4 linked regions of the Drosophila melanogaster genome follow. The protein of the gene in region 3 interacts with the protein of the main gene of each other region in a pairwise test. Each region holds a gene or a part of one and is shown on either strand. Other genes may lie near its edges. The genes, in order: RpS15Aa, Np, SkpC and eIF2Bdelta.

Region 1 (4,316 bases), 6.5 Mb from region 3:
AACTTTAAGTGTTGATAACAAGTAATGCCTAAAAACGAATATCACAAACCCAACACCCGTTCATAAAAAACCTAGTACTCCCTAGGGATAACTTGAGATAACATCAAATTTGACTCATCGAGTGAATACACTTTATCATAATTAAAACAAATTTTTACTCAAAAATTGCAGCAGTTATCTACAGCATAAATTCGGAACTTGTGCTGGAAAACAGTTGAAAACCTGAAGAAGCATGTAAATGTACGTTTTACATGTACATTTTGTTCTATAGAAACTACAACAAATTCTAACAAGCATTATTTGCTTCATAAACAATTTTTGACAGTAATTGAGGTTTTCTTGGTGAAGAAGTTCTAACAAATAATAAGAAACCTAGGTGGGAATACCAAAACTATGATGGTCTAATCATTTTTGGCTTTAAGGTGTCAAGAGTGGGAACAATTGGCCCTTACTTTCATTATGGAAAGCACGTAACCGTGTTTTAAGCACCTCAAAAGAAACCGCATGGCGCGTTCTTAACATCCTAATTGTCTTGATTTCAGCCATAAAATTGACAATATCCAGCTATAAGTAACTCCGGTCGAGGTTATATTATACACAAATTGGGTTTTATGTTAACAGATCGTTTTACTGTCGCTATTGATTTATCACTGTACCGCTTAACATAGTATATGGATCGTAGACAAAATCGTTATTAAAATTATTATGTATCAATCATTTTATTTCGCGTAACTTTGTGAACATTCATCGTCGTTTGTTTTCTGAATGAACGTAGCAGCGTTTTCGCCCCTTGTTTCCTGTGCACAAAGTACATAGTTGGTTGCATGGTCGGTGAAATAAAACGTCAATCTACATATCAAACTCCTTAGCAGCACATACAGACTCTCTACGATGCGAACTTGGTTTCTCTAGAAGAAGAAGCCGAGAATTTTGCCTCCCAAATGTTTTCTCCTAGCCTCCTCGTGGTCCATGATGCCGCCAGAGGTGGTGAGCACAACGTAACCAAACTGACGCGAGGGCAACAGATTGTTGGTCCATTTCTCGATGTCGTTGATGGGCACATCGAAGCGGGGCGAGATGACGCCGCACTTGTTTAGCCTACCGGTCAGGTTGACAACGATCTTGCCGGAACGATGATCGTCGACGATCTCGAATTCGCCGATATAGCCATGCTTCATCATCACGGTCAGGAACTTGATGATCACCTTGGAGCAGGGACGCAGCAGCACCTGCCGCTTGCCACGCTTCTCGGCGTTGTTTATGCACTTCAAGGCATCGGCCAATACGTTCATACGCACCATGGCTGCAAAATGTTCGGGAACACAATTAGTCAAGAGGCAATAATCACAGAAAAAAAAAGATGATGTCTTGGGCTTTAATCGAAAGTGCAGACTTTGCCACCCCCATTGCTCTATAAAATCAGTCTACAAAACCAAGCAAAACGTGCTCAGAGCCTACTAAAAAAAAGTATCTCACTAAATTGCATATAACTACTATATAAGTAGTACTATGAGGTTGGCTAACAAAGCTTAAGCCCTATTAAATGAAAAACTAACTTGAAAAGTACGTAAAACTATGTGTACTACAAGAACAGATCAATTGACCACCTAAACAAAACATATCAACTTATGGAGCCTATACAAGTGTGGCATATGACTTATTGGAAAAAGGTTTCCCTAACACATATGAACCATTATGAGCATAATAAAGTATTCAATAAAAGTGGCTACTATTATAATACTCTAGATTTCTGGAGGGCAGGAGGCGTGGCGCCTTTTCGGAAATTCACGCGGACAGACGACGAATCGTTTTTTAATATTGATTATGATTTTTAACAGTTTTTTACTTCACTTTTTAAATCAGCGAGGAACGGAACATTGAATAAAAAAAGAAGCAGAAACAGCAAGTAAAACACGTGCAAAATAGCAAAGAAAAAAAAATGATACTGTCTGTGTTTCTGCGGCTGTGTGTGTGTGCGTACAAGTGGCTGTAAACAACAACTATTTCGGGTAAGTTTACCAACTAAACTGCGTAAAAATTTGTTTAATTTAGCCGGTTTTCGGTCGTGCATTCGATTCAACTGAATGCCCAACTTTTTGCCACAATTTAAAGCCGCTCACACCCACCCACACATGCACAACAACACTGTGCCACACACTTTGGCCAATTTTTCACTTCATATTCGTTTGCACATTAAAAAAATTATAACCAAAAAAATACATATATATAGCGCATGTAGCGAGGCATTTCATGCATTGTTTACACGGTAAACTGATCAGTTTTGGCACATTGGCCCACAGTAAAAAAAAATGGGTAATAAAAAAAACGGAGTTGGGTGGATTTGCACATGTTTCGGCCGGCGATCGCCGCCAATCTAATCTGGCTGAATTTTCGCGCTTAAAACGGGTCCAATGGAAGCGGCATTTACCTGGATTTGTTTGCAAAAACTGTTTTACACGACCGCTGCAAATAGAGGAAATAAAAGAGAGTTAAATACAATTTTGTTGAACAAAACTCGGAGTACACGTACTCACGCAAACGTGAAAAAGGGAAAAGAAAGGGAAACGGAAGGAAAAAGACGCAGAACAGTGTGGCCGCGTTTGTCGAATGTGTCTACGCTCAACGTGCCTATCGATAGTTAGCCGGACGCAGGCCGCGGTTGCTGGCTTGACTAAAATCGCTTCCAATTATTTGGAGCCCAACTGCCACTATGCATGTGAATAGACTTGAACGGCTTCAGAAGTAATCTTTGATATTTCTCTGATCCCCCCGAGCATCATGATCCCGTCTATATTTTTCTGCGTAGCCAGACTAAGGACCGATGTTTCCATTGGCGTAAAAAAATAAATAAAAAAAAAACAGCAGGCCTTAAGTGATAATTAAACGCTTTATTAACATAACAATTTATTTATATTTAAATTTATTTTAATTTGTTTCAATATTTCGCCATATTTGTATGTGTATTTTACGTCTCTAGAGTTGCACTAACATGATTTCAAGGGGTAAGAGCCTTGGTTTGGCAATAAAACAGAAAATAAAGTAATGATTGGTCCATTGAAACACAATTAAATACAAGTTGATTAAAGCACAAGTTTTAAAGTAGTTTCACATTGAAATAACGAATTTTGTGATACTATCCGTGTTTCAAACTATTATCTTAATACTATCGAATGGTCCTCCTATCGATATACAACGGTTCTTTTAGCCGGTAAAGCGTTGCTGTCAGCAGTTTTGCACCATTGAGGGATTTTTGTGGTCGCTTCAGACGGTCATACTAATTATTCATAAATAAACAAGAATGGCAAAACAGTAAGTAATTTGTTAAAAATAAACAATTTGAGCAGTTTTTTAAGGACCCGTTTCAACACCGTGCAGATATGGCCTTATTTTACCCGGCCAACAGAAGAAAGTACCTCTAAAACGAGTCGAAAGGCCCTCCATCTTCGACGAGAACAGCGACTCCGAGACCGATGATGACCCAGCTGCTCCTCAATTTCAGCCAAGAACCGGCGGCGTATCCATGGGTCCTAGTCTAATGGAACGCCGCGTGGCCCGCCGGCAGCAGGAGAAGGCCCTGGCCGAGGATCCAACCATATTCCAGTACGACGAGCTGTACGATGACATGGACAGCAAACGCGAGGAGGCCAAGCAGACGAAGAGCCAGGAGCCGCGGAAACCAAAGTACATTGGCCGGCTGATGGAGCATGCCGAGCGCAGAAAGCTGGAGAAGGAGCTGCGCATCGAACGGCAGGTGCAGAAGGATCGCGAAGCCGAGGGCGAGATGTATAAGGACAAGGACACCTACGTGACTGCCGCCTACCGCAAGAAGCTCGAGTCCATACGCCAGATGCAGGAGCAGGAGCAGCGTGATGAGTACCTCGAGGCCATTGGCGATGTGACCAAGCAAAAGGATCTGGACGGCTTCTATCGCCATCTATACGAACAAAAGTTGGGCGGTCCCGCCCAGCAGGATGTCGTCAAGCCAAAGACGGCGCCCACCACCGACGAGGTGGCATACAAACCCATTAAGGCAGAGGCTGTCAAGCATCGAAGCTATCGGCGACGTCGCCCCTCCGAGGATGAAGAGGAGCAGACTAAGAGCAAATCAGACGCAGCCTCGGACGCCACGAAGTCAACGGATCAAACGGAAAGCATACCAGCGCAGGCACATTTGACCAACAACATAGATGCCGATTCTGATTTTAGCATAGACGACTCCAGCGATGAAGAAGACGAGAAGGAGAATGAGAAGGAAAAGAATAAGCTGTCCCAGATCAAAAAGGAGGATAAGGACAAGGCTCCGGAAAGTTCAGAGC
Region 2 (4,650 bases), on a different chromosome or scaffold from region 3:
TGGCGCTTCTGGCCACATGTCCCCATCTGGCTGTCCAGCTAAGCCCAGCTCATTAGCTCAAAACGAAAGACTTAGGGCACAAACTCGATGGGCAGGCGTGCGCATCGCCTGCCGCTGAGGGCCGCCTAATTGTTTCAGCAGCTGCCATTGCAGGTTCAATACAACCATCAACGGCAATTTCTCAATTGCAAATGCCGAATGCAAATTACAATAATTACGGCGAGCCATTTTGCGCTACTCTACGCAGGCAGCCTCATCCTATCACCCCATCATCAACTTCTCCTGACAGGCGATCTGCCCGGCAAACCTGTATAAACCAGAGCGGCCCCAGAACGTGAAATGCAAATAACGCAACAGGCTTCCTACTGCCTACAGATCATCTGTGGCCGCAAGACAAACGTGCTCCACCCCTCCAATGCCCCCCACCGCCCTCCCAGCTGTCGAGTGCGTTTTAGACCAAAGACAGGCGGACTGGCAGGCCTCCAACAATAAGGAAGAGCCGTGTGTGGTTGTCGCAGGGGGGTCGACCCTATGGTACTTATCACAAAATATATAAAATCTAACATAGAGTAACCTGAATGAACATAAAAACTGCATCACTTGTATTTGGTCAATCTCAGCTTGTATGATACTTTTAACTGAATAAAACTATCCCTTATATAATTAACTCCCAGTCCATCTAACCCCTGTTACCCACGACTTGCCATTGGCATAACCACAATCAGACCAGTTCTTTAAACCGAAAAGCAAAAATCGTTTGCCGAGGAGCCAAAGGAAGCTGGAGCAAGCAAAGTTCTGCTTAAGATTGCCTTTTCTCGGTCGCTGAGGGAAAAGCAGAAGCAGTCGGCAGTGGCAGCGCAATTGAAACACTTGTACTAAGCTGCTGTTGCTCCTGCTGTTGGTGGTGGTGGTGGTGCTGGTGCCCCAACTCTTGTGGCACGCCGCTTTGGCTCGCTTGCATTTTACAGGAATTTCAATAAATTTACAGAGGAGGGAGCGACTTTTGCTTTGGACTCGTTTCGAGCTTTGGCCGTGTTTGCGGCGCTTGAACTGGCTGCTCTTGTTTTGCAGCCTCTGCTGGTGCAGTTAGTTGCAGTTATGCGCATCTATCGGCTGCTCGGTATCTGTATCTGAATCTGTATCTGTATCTTAGCACATGCATCTGAGTCTGTTGCTGTTTCTGTTTCTGTGACCGCAGTGAGTTGGCGCTTAATTGACTTGTACGCGGTAGAAAGTGCACAAGCACTTTGGGCACAACCACTGGCACAGGGGAAAAAAGAGCCGGCGTATCTGGCGGATGCGTATCTGAGTCTCGGATCTTTTGCATTTACTTGCGTTGGCTGCCAGTTGACGTCGAGCTTCGGTTCACTGCTGCCAGCTATTTTGGGTCATTTCATTTAATTCGCTGTTACCATATGAGTGTGATTATAACTCTTACGTTTGTGGCTCGTTCGTTTTATGAGTTTCTTCACTTTTGACACTGGCTCTCGGCCTTTTTCCGCAGTTCTACCTTTCGCTTCTTTCAAAAAAAGATCACACAAAGCACTGTTAGCCGCCTGGGAAAATTTGTTTCCCGAGATTCGTTTCCTTTCCCGGTTGGGATTTCGTTGCTTTGGTTTTGGCTTGTATTCTTGCACTTGAACTTGCCTCGGGACTTTGGGTCAGGCCAATTATTTCACTCACACTCGCACACACACACGCACACTCGCTAAGTCCCCGAGTACAGACGCACTCGCACACACACACACAGTCGCGGAAGACGGAAGACGAGCAGAAGACCAAGTTAAGAGCGCGACAAGTTGCGCACGTCTGCGGTGTGGAGCTCACACAAAAGATCCACAAACCAGGTGAAGCCACTGCCTCTGCCACTGGCACTGCTGCCGTCGCTGCCGCTGCCCGCTGCGACTGAGATTTGGCCACGCCGGCAGAGCTGAAGAACTTGGTAAGACGAAATTGGTAAGTTAGCTGATTCTCTCTCTCTCGCTCGCACGCTCATTCCGGCTCAAAGTTAAAGTCAAAGCCAAAACCAAAACCAAAACCAAACCACCAACATGTGCGCATGCGTGCAGTCGGCGTCGACTGCGCTACGCGCATAACGGTTTTCATTAAGGCCAACACCGAGAACGGCCAAAAGCTAGGCGCTGTTTCTGTTTCTGTTTCTTATTCAAATGAACCTCTCTCTCTTTTGGCCACCTCTCTCTTTTTGAGGCGGCTCACAGCTGATTGGCGGCACAAGGTGTTTGGCGGGGGGTGGTGGCGGTTGTGGCGGGGGGAGTTTGGGGTTAACAGCGCTTTCACATTAAAATAGCAAGAAGCAGAAGACAGCACAAACACACACACGCACACATGCACACATCGTGGCTTTTTCTTTTAATATATATATTTTGTGTTGCAAATGAGTGTGTTTTTGCTGCTGCTCGCCATTCTTTGTCACCTGTGCGAGTGTGAGAGTGTGTGAGTGTGGGGGGCCACCGTTTGTTTGTCTTTTAATTTATGCACGTCGTCAGGTTAAGAAAGTCAATCTTTATTATGCTGCGGCTCTCACAGGCAAACCAGTTGGCTGATAAGAATTGCATGGTGACTTCCTTGGCTTTTAAGTACGTTTTCCGAGAAACGTATGGGAAGAAACTTCTAAGGAGCAGCACTTCTGGGGAAAAACACTTTGCTCATTTCAGGAAGGGAAATATTGAACTTCTGCTACAAATTAAAGCTGGCTTCTAGCTTCTTTTGTCCTTTAATCAATGCACAAATTGTAGGAATTTTTCTTTTGTTTAGGTACTGCGACCATCACACGCTCTAATCCACACATCATTAGGTCTTGTGAAAAGGCCATTTAGACTGCCAAAGAAACACATTTATACAGCACACAAGAATCGCGCCTCACAACATCTCTGTTTAATGAAGCAAGCAAAACAAAACGCACAATTAACTATCAACCACTGACTGACTTGGCGATGACGCGTGTCTTTGGCCGTTCCTTGAACTCGAGAGACCTTGACACTGGGGCTGCTCCACAGCAACTGAGGCCTGGAAAGCCAAGCGATCCCCGATTCTTTGGCCAATTGCCCGAAGAAGTGGATGCCAATGTGGATGCTAAGAGCGAGGCCTGGTGAGAGAGGAGAGCTGCTGATAAGCTCCTTTTCGATTCTTCTCCCCCTGATTATGTTATTGAGTTTTGATGCCCAGCGATGATACTGGTCATTGGTTACTGCTTGGTGGCCAGCGGAAGTCGGGCTCATTAGAAATTCAGATCATGCTCAGCATGTGGCACCTGTTGCACGGCCATGGACCCAGTTTTGGATTTCCCGCGCTATCTCAGAAGATATCTCTGTTTGATGTTCGTGCCTGTTCTGGCATTTCTGGCTAATGTTTGCTGCCTCTGTTTCTTATTTGCCCAACAAGATAAACACAGATTCCAAACCATTTCGAAATCATGTTCTTTGTGCATCATCTGTATATTGATTGAGATGCTGCCTGAAAGTATGCAGCTTGTTTTTATTTACCCAAGACGCGAACCACGTCAAATGGAAATTGCAATGTAAAAGTTAAATTCTGTTGCATGAATTTCAGCGAGTTAATGCAGGTTTTATAAAGTTTTAAAAAGTTGTAATTAAAATTATCTTTGATGTTCACATCAGACGTTTGTCAATAAAAAGCCATGGTATTTTGGTACATTTTGTTTTTATTTTTAAAACATAATTATTGGTATCAATACGATGTCAGTGAAAGTGGATCGCAAATGTAGGAATTATTCGAACAGTGTTTAATAAATATAGAAAACTTAAATAGAATGCGTGGAATGCAATGAAGTCGAATGAAGGGTGGAGGGATCGAACGGTTGGACTGATTGAGTCGAGGAACCCTAGGATGTGGAGTATGATAAAATAAATACAAGGCCCCAAGGACCTCGGTCTTACACACTAGCAACCCCGAGTCGTAGAGGAATCACATGGCCTGGCTGACGGCATGCATCTCCGCAGCGGACGCACACCTGCGCGTTGGCGCCTACGCGTTGTCATTGGCCATAACCTTGTTGATCCAGGGCACGAAACGCTGGATGTTCGTATAGACGCCGGGCAGGTGTTCCCTCCCACAGCCAATGCCCCAGGACACCAATCCGATCAGGGTCTTGCGACCGTCCATGGTCAATGTTAGTGGACCACCACTGTCGCCCTGACACGAATCCCGGCCGCCATCCTTGTAGCCTGCGCACAAGAAGACCTGGACGAAAAGAAGTTGCTCAATGTAGATCTTTTTTAAGGGAAGACCTATGCCGGTCTTAAGTCTATGCCAATGTTTACTCACATCGTGGATGGCCTCTCGGCGACCCGCTGCCCGGAACCATCGCTGACAGCGATCATTCGAGATCACCTCCACGTCCACCTCCTGCAGTACGGAGGGAACTGTGCTCTGGCCGTGTCGGGTTCGCCCCCACCCAGCCACAGTGGCCATTTTACCAGTCAATTTGGTGGTGGAAGGAGGCAGACAGACGGGTATGATGTGCTGCTTGTAGACCACATTCCTGTCCAAGCGGATCAGAGCCACGTCATTTACAAAGTCTGCCGGATTGTAATGGGGATGCACTTCCTTTCGCTCGATGCCATACTCTTCGTGGTTTAGGCGCTCCTCCTGACCACGAACATCCCACTC
Region 3 (2,901 bases):
ACTTAACTTACAATAAAGGACATTGCCCAGCCTCCTGCCACCCACCACCCGCCTCCCCACCCCGCAACGGTATGTAAAGTGCGTAAGTTGTGTCCAAGGGTTTGGAATACGAGGATTGGGACCCTGGGCTTGGGTTCATTTGGGGGTTTTCTGCACTATTTTACATACGTAATGCGAACTTCATGGATGCAGAGCTCATAAGCGCCAACGGCCAAGGCTTTTGGAAATTAGCGTGGCTGCCAAATCAGGAACCGGCTTAAGGAGCACCAGGATTCCGGGATTGGGGTGCTATGGAGTGGAGTGGGTCGGTGTGTGGTGTGGTGTGTGGTGTGTGCTTGTATCCCCGGGCGGCTTGGTGGCAATCAACTGGGAATAGAGCCAGAGCACTCCTTTAGCCCAAGCGAACATGAAACGATTTAAAAAGTTATGTTTTATGTGTTCTTGTTGCCAAAGTAAACTGTAAACTGAATATGTTGATAAAATACAATAGATATGCTTTCAAAAATACTCGTAATATCATATTTATTCTGGTGAAACAAATAAGTTCTCAACAAAGGAAGGTTCCAGGTGTCCCAACCGGATTTGCTCCGAAAGAGACTGTGCCTCACAGGTCTTCGCCCAACTGGGCCGTCCTGCTCGGTATTTCGTCCGGGATGTTGAACGTGTGGCGGATCTCCTCGGGAGTCTTTCCCCTAATCATATTGGCCACCGTCTTGCAACAGAGATCCACTAGGCCCTTGATCTCCAGATAGTTGGCGGCCAGTATGATTTCGAACAAGGTGGGTTGATCGACGTTAATAAAGTTGGCGTCCCAGGCTGAGATGTCATGTGGGCTTTGCGGGCTCAACTCCACGCCCTCCGCTCCATGGGCATCATCGTCCTTGTGGTGATAGATCCAGGTCAGAATCTTGGATAGGATGAACGCGTTCACCTTGGGCAGCGGCACAATGGCATTCTCGTCGTTCTCCACGGCAGAGACCTCCAACATGGTCTTGATGGTTTCGGAGAGCTTGGCGGCTCGGACTTCCGTTGAAAAGATCATCCCATCCGAGGACTCAAGCTTGATGGTGGGAGCATCCATTTTCGGTTTGCCTTGCCTTTCTATTTGCCAAACTACGTTCAAAGAGATTCAGAAGAACAAGATGGGATGATTGATAGAGCACGTGCCAACTGGACGATTCGAAAGTTCAAAGAAAAAAGAATAGAGAACAGAGTGACCAGATGTGATCACTGCGGAATCACTGTCGTCAAGTGTGTACACACTAGAAATTGGAAGTCTTAACATTAAGAACTGTAGATTCGCTTTAGCTTTTTTATTGAGAATCGCGAATCGTGTTTTATTTATCATATCAGACCTTAAAAGTGTAATAAAAAAAAGTGTAATATGAATTTTAAAACCTATATGAATGTTGGGTAAGTGCTCAATCAAAAAATTTCAAAATAATAGTTCCGGAAAGAACCCCGTAAAAAATATTTTTAACAGAGGGAACTGGAAAATAGCACGTGGGCTTACATTACTTGCTCTAATTTTTCAAAAAAACTTTAAATTAAATATATATTTTTTCATTTGAAAAACAGACGGACAGAAGGCACTTTCTACCTGTTACATACTCATTAGCGATTCTAACATTCCCTTTTACTGTATTATTATTGTTTTATGAAACACTCCAATTATGTGTAACTTGCTTTCCATAAAATATATACACTTAACAGAATCAAAATTTTCAGTTACCGTAAAACTGTATTTTGAACCGAGTTCCAAAATAATATATTAATATTAAATCCAAGATACAAAGAAGAATTTCGATTTGCTAGCTTTAGTACTTAATTACGTACTTAATACGAGGATGAGGATGCAATTCGGCCAAAAAAGTGTCCGTTTTGGATAGCAAAAACAAAGTGCGAAAATACCATTATTCGAGTGAGTTTTCCTAGCCGCCAAACGGAACGCGATTTAAGTTTTTTTTTTTGTGTGCCAGTTGACGCAAAGGCTCTAACCTATTAGGCGGTCAGCAAAAAAATGAACTCGAGTCATGCCGTCTTGTGGAGCACCCTTTTCGAGCCGTCCCGGGGATCACCCCTTCCCATCGATTGACAGCAGCCGCACATAAACCAAAACCCTAAGATTTGTATTTAATTTAAATGCTTAAAAGATATATTAATTAAAAAAAGTGAGCATGTGGACAAGAATAATTTTAGGGTTAGAAGACATGAATACAGAGGGAGAAGTTTCTGCTGAAGTAAACATATTGATAAATTCTATCGGACCTAAACCTATACTTGCGTGAAAGATATCAAACTGCGAATGTACACTGAGAGAAATTTTCTGAATAATTATATCCGCAAATATTTGAATTATTCGCAATAATTCCTTTAAATGTGAACCCAAGGAGGAGACTTATTTTATATTACTTTTGTATTTTTAATTTTTATTTAATTTGCCACGCCCACAAACCGCACAAAACTGCCACGCCCACACTTTCGAAAAACGTGTTGATATTATTTCAAATTTTTATTAGTCTCGTAAATTTCTATTGATAAAAACAAAAATTTTGCCACACCCACTCGAACGCCCTAAAACCGCCCAACCGGTCACGCCCACACTTTGGAATAATTTTTTAAAATTTTTATAATTTTTTTTTATATCTATCGATTTTTCTGAGTAACGGGTATCTGATAGTCGGGGAACTCGACTATAGCATTCTCTCTTGTTTTTCCCAAAGTTGAACAAATTCTATACAGATTAACGCGACAAATGAATACACTGAGAACAATTGCTTGAACCCTAATTATATTGCTAGACTATAAGCTATTAAATATTAATTAAAATCTAACCGACCTTACCCGCAACCCACTCACTTACATTTAATTTTTACTGATTAAAGAAACTGATTTGAAAAA
Region 4 (5,038 bases), on a different chromosome or scaffold from region 3:
CAGTGGCCCTCTGGAGCCTCCGGCTGGGCGTGCCATCGTTGGTGACACCCCAGCCGGTGATGTTGAAGATGGGACTTTCCGCCATGTGTCCCTCGACCAGGAGACAGATCGGCCGGACGTAGTCTGAAAGATATGTCCACTGCTTAGGGAGCCCTGGCTGCTGGATCCACCTCATTACCTGAGTACTGGACGAAGCTCTTCATGCGCAACAGGCCGATGTCGTTGTCCAAGTTTAGGTTATAATCCGCATGCAAAATCTTTCTATCCACAGCGAGTTCATATGACTTGGGCACGCAGCAATCCTTGCCAGGAAAGCGGGTGTCATACTCGCCCAAGCGTATTCTCCTGAGTTTATATGACTTGGGCACGCAGCGCGAGCAATCCTTGCCAGGAAAGCGGGTTTTATACTCGCCCAAGCGTACTCTCCTGTGGAAATGGGAATTCGTAAGTGTTCGCCGAAAGACAGTGCTGCCTCACTTACATGTGTGTACTAACGATGCAATGGGCGGCCGTGAGAACGAAGCCTGAAAGTATTAGCAGCAGGTGACTGGACAAAGAACTCATTCGTGGGCCACATTTGAATACTTACGACTGGTGATTAGCGAGCCACCACATAGTTTCTCGCCTAGCACCTTCACCATCCATGGATTTGAGAATAGGCCTGCGTCTGCGCCCCCGGTGATCATTGGGATAAATTCTGGTTTTGTCGTGCCACAACTGGAGTCTAGCAGGTGACCAGGTGCTCCTTCACCCAACTGGATGGAGCAGACCAGAAGAGCTAATCCAGCTGCGATGAACTTCATCTTTTCGCGGTAATGGAGCGACTGGCAAGCTTAGTCGAGTTTGAGGTAATTTTTGAGGAATTTTATGTTGACCAGCTGATAACAGTACACTCTTTATGACCGTCAACGGAAACGGATATGATAGGAATCAGTGTTTTGTTTTAATGAGTGCTCTCAGTACTTTTTTATTTTTATTTTATTTACGAATCTGGGGAAATTCCAACTCACTACCAAAAATTAGACCCCTGTGATGCTTTGTCTTGCGCCAACTACTTATACAAATTTGAACTTGAATATTTTTCCTGCTTAGCTTCTCGATTAACCCTTCGAAATGCAGTTATCTGGGTAAACGAATATTCATCGCGATCAGTTGTGGAATATAATTTAATCTATTCTTTAATAAATCCAATTAAATGCTGCTAGTTATGAATTTTAATAGTAACAAGCAACTTAATTTGTGTTTCATATAACAAATCATTAGTGTGACCGAACTCAACTCATAGGTGGTGTCATAGCCGCATAATAAGACCGTATTTGGATGTTGCAGTGCACTCTCCAATAAGAATCAAGTTTAACCTCGTTTCAAATCATTTATTCGCCGATTTCACGTTGGGTCCGACACAAACAGCTCTGAAATGTTGATGCGACAATTAAGACTAAGTTACTGGCCGCCTAGTGGTGCTCGGCGTGCTCCTTGGCCTGCGATTCGGCCCATGCCTTCTTGTTCTCGGGCGAGTTGGCTGAAAATGGGCAGGAGGGAGAAGTGCATTAGTACAAGGGGCCCAGAGGTCGCGAGGCGAGTGTTACGCACCCAGCTTGCTGATCTTGTAGAACACGGGCACGCAGGCCACGGCCGCAATGAAGTAGTAGCGCCAGATCCATTGGTTCTTGATGTAGTGCTTGATGGGGAATTGGGCTATCTTCGCGGAGAAAGTGTATGGGTAGCGCATGGGGCGTCCAGCGGGTTTCTCGGCAGCAGCTTTGTCGGCCATGGTAGTCGTGGAATTCGCAGCTGTGGAGGGTCGAATTAAACGAAATCAATTTACGCAAAAATTATGTAATTTTCGGAGGCGGCAGACGAACATACGAACCTCACAAATAAAAGACAGCTATGGGAATGCCAACTCGTGCGGCGAGGAAAGCACCAAAAATGACACTGGCTGCTAGCGAGTCTGGCAAGGCCGGCCATGTGTTTACCGCGGCGAATCAAGACGGTTATCGATTCACTTACATCGCTATCAACTGGTGGACGTTTTTTTGCCATCGTGAGCAAAACTTTCGAGTTACTTTTCCCGAATAATAATATAGAATCGTAAGGTAAAGACAGCAAGCACACTGCTTAGGTGCTATAAGCCAGCATTCGTGCTTACCCATAGACGCAGGATTCAGCTTGGATCTTAATTGCACCGCCACAGGAGTCTGAACCTTTTTTAACCTTTTCACATCCTTTTTCACCTTAATTGCCATGTCTCTCTCTTTTCAAGCTTTCAAAATGGTTTTAACTAGCGAACAGGTGCCACAGGTAGCTAGCTTGCCTCTTAGTAACTAATTTGCCAAGTAGCGAGTTTCCCAAATTTAGTTTTGATTTAGCATGTCGGCCGATTTGATTTCGTATTTGATCCAAACAGTTTGATAGTTTTACATATTGTTACATCAATAACTAATTCCGTACTCCCTATCTGGACTGGGACTGACGCCCAGACTTTGAAGAGCAAGCACAAGAAGCAAAGGCAACGCAATCGACCGCGCAACAAACGAAATCGCCTGGAAGACAGCCATTCAACGACACAAGAAACATCAGCCATCGACGCCACGAGTGCAATGCCCGGAAATGCTGTGGATCCATTGGCCACGGAGAAGACTCGTGACCAGATAATGGCCGAGCGGGAGGCGAAGAAGCTGGCTAAGCAGGCCAAGAAACAGAAAACTGCACCGACTCCTACTGCCGCCACTCCTGCTGTTCTGACCACTCCCTCTGCTCCGGCCACCAAAATCATCACTGAAGTGGAGCAGACCACCATTACCACTAAGCTGACGACCACCACCACAACAAAGGTGCAGGATGCAGTGGCTTCAAAGACGACTCAGCCAGCTGCGGTAAATGGCAAGGATGCGGAGGCGGGTGAAAAGACACGCGAGCAGATCAAGGCGGAACGCGAGGCCAAGAAGGCAGCCAAGAAAGCTGGCAAAGGCGGGGGAGCCAAGGTAGAGGGCATCGCACAACAGCTCGCTGACCTGAAAGTAGCAGAAAAAGCTCCAGTCGCAGCCAGTGCTGCACCTTCGACAACAGAAGCGGACCAGGAAAAGGTAACTTGCTACATTTATGATTTCCTTGCTTCATATACATCTCACCTCACCTTGCACAGAAAAAGCCAGCTCTTAGCAAAGCGGAGCGTCGCGCTATCCAAGAAGCCCAACGGGCAGCCAAGGCCCAGGTACAGACTAAAAAGGCCCAGCATGCAGCCAAGGCACCACCCAGCGCAGCTCCCAAAGGGCCGAACCGGAAGAGCGTTTCCCCCACCACAGCGGCCACCAGCAGTTCCCCCGTCAAATGTCCAGCCAGCACGCCCAATGTAGACTGCCGGGTGAAGCTGTTCAACCATCTGGTGTGCGCCAAGGAAGACAGCCAGTTCATCAACGATCCACTCGTTCATCCGAGCATTGCGCGCTTGGGTGTTCAGTACGCCAAGCGCACGGTGGTGGGGTCCAATGCTCGATGCATTGCCTTCCTGCACGCCCTGCGCCAGGTTGTCCACGACTTTGAGACGCCCGCCAAGAAGGAGTTTGGTCGCAGCCTGGACGCCGCCGTGAAGCACCACGTAGACCACCTGCACAAGTGCCGACCGCTGGCCGTGTCCGTGTCCAATGCGTACAAACAATTCAAGAACCAACTGACACAGCTGCCGGCGGATGTTCCCGAAACGGAGGTAAGAATCAAAATATATTTTTTTAACTCAATTGGTAACATGCATTTGCTCAACAGTCGAAGGAGCTGCTCGTCCACTTCATCGATACTTACATTGAAAATCAAATCGGCAAGGCGGCCCAAGCGATCAGCGGTTTTCTGCAGGAAAAGATCACCGATGGCGACGTGCTGCTGACCTTCGCCTGTTCCTCCCTCATTCAGTTCATCTGCGAGGAGGCCAAGCGGCGCCAGGTGGCCTTCCGCGTGATTGTCGTCGATTCGCGACCCGGATGCGAAGGCCAGGAGCTGCTGCGCCGACTGCACGCCACCGGAATCCCGTGCACCTACGTGCTGATCAACGCCGTGGGCTATGTGATGGCGGAGGCCACGAAGGTGCTGCTGGGAGCACACGCCCTGCTGGCCAACGGATACGTGATGGCGCGAACGGGCACCGCCCAGGTGGCCCTGGTGGCCAATGCCCACAACGTGCCGGTGCTCGTGTGCTGCGAGACGCACAAGTTCAGCGAGCGCTTCCAGACGGACGCCATCGTCTACAACGAGCTGAGCGATCCCAACCAACTGGTGCGCGGCGACAAGTGCCAGCTAAGCAACTGGGCGGCCAAGGGAAAGCTGTTGCCGCTCAACCTGAGCTACGACATTACTCCGCCGGAGCTGGTGAGTGCCGTGGTCACCGAGGTGGCCATCCTGCCCTGCACCAGTGTTCCCGTCATACTCCGCATCAAGCCAGACATTGGCTACTAATCAGACTTCATCGATCGCTCAGTAGAACTCGCAGTTGTTGAATAAATAAGTTTTATTACACTTTGATCAAATCGACAAACAAGATTGATGCGTAGTTCATAATTTACGGGTATGCTAGTGGAATATGCTTGATGCCAGGGACCGCTGCTGCGAAGGAGGGCTAGGCCCAAGTGTCTGTACATCCGGCAGACCGCCGAGTTCCTCGGAAATTATAAATATTTTGATCAAGAGCAAGTCTGCGCTCTGACATGCAATTGTACTTTCCGTGCGGGTGGGGCTGGGATTAGCAAATATGTAGCTCTAGATTCTAATAACAAAATACAGTTTTGTGCCCGGCTTATAGACTAGGACGATGCCTGGAAGCCAATCGCTGGTGGATTGATTTGGTTTTGCTCTTTTGATTTCCATTTGCAACAACTTGAATGAGCTTCTACAAGCAGCTAAGTCTACAAATGCAACAATAAATACACACAATAAATTTAATAGCGTTTCCATATCGATTGCACACCCTAGCTCCGCTCCATTCCTCGATCCTGCCTGCCTTGCCTCTACGGGCTTTGCTTTTGCATTTGCCGGAAGCAGCCCCGGC

What was found.
Region 1: the proteins of SkpC (region 3) and RpS15Aa interact in a two-hybrid assay, tested with the Drosophila melanogaster proteins (one large-scale study listed by BioGRID).
Region 2: the proteins of SkpC (region 3) and Np interact in a two-hybrid assay, tested with the Drosophila melanogaster proteins (one large-scale study listed by BioGRID).
Region 4: the proteins of SkpC (region 3) and eIF2Bdelta interact in a two-hybrid assay, tested with the Drosophila melanogaster proteins (one large-scale study listed by BioGRID).

What each region holds. Positions count from the first base shown.
Region 1 is NC_004354.4:13,335,077-13,339,392, forward strand, and holds RpS15Aa (ribosomal protein S15Aa), read right to left. Parts: upstream 2,563-4,316; 5' UTR 2,429-2,562; intron 1,304-2,428; 5' UTR 1,302-1,303; coding exon 909-1,301; 3' UTR 561-908; downstream 1-560. Other genes in the region: CG15747 (uncharacterized protein), read left to right, coding at 3,299-3,309, 3,376-4,316.
Region 2 is NT_033778.4:9,003,566-9,008,215, forward strand, and holds the start of Np (notopleural), read right to left. Parts: upstream 3,023-4,650; 5' UTR 2,924-3,022; intron 1,812-2,923; exon of another isoform or gene 1,439-1,811; intron 1-1,438. Other genes in the region: CG8172 (uncharacterized protein), read right to left, coding at 4,006-4,221, 4,306-4,650.
Region 3 is NC_004354.4:19,814,318-19,817,218, reverse strand, and holds SkpC (SKP1-related C), read right to left. Parts: upstream 1,148-2,901; 5' UTR 1,082-1,147; coding exon 605-1,081; 3' UTR 519-604; downstream 1-518.
Region 4 is NT_033778.4:23,384,524-23,389,561, forward strand, and holds eIF2Bdelta (eukaryotic translation initiation factor 2B subunit delta), read left to right. Parts: upstream 1-1,997; 5' UTR 1,998-2,099; intron 2,100-2,266; 5' UTR 2,267-2,274; coding exon 2,275-2,304; intron 2,305-2,380; exon of another isoform or gene 2,381-2,483; coding exon 2,484-3,089; intron 3,090-3,148; coding exon 3,149-3,709; intron 3,710-3,765; coding exon 3,766-4,449; 3' UTR 4,450-4,529; downstream 4,530-5,038. Other genes in the region: CG30414 (uncharacterized protein), read right to left, coding at 1-123, 179-426, 482-524, 590-803; roh (reduction of Rh1), read right to left, coding at 1,455-1,522, 1,594-1,774; Mtmr6 (myotubularin related protein 6), read right to left, coding at 4,998-5,038.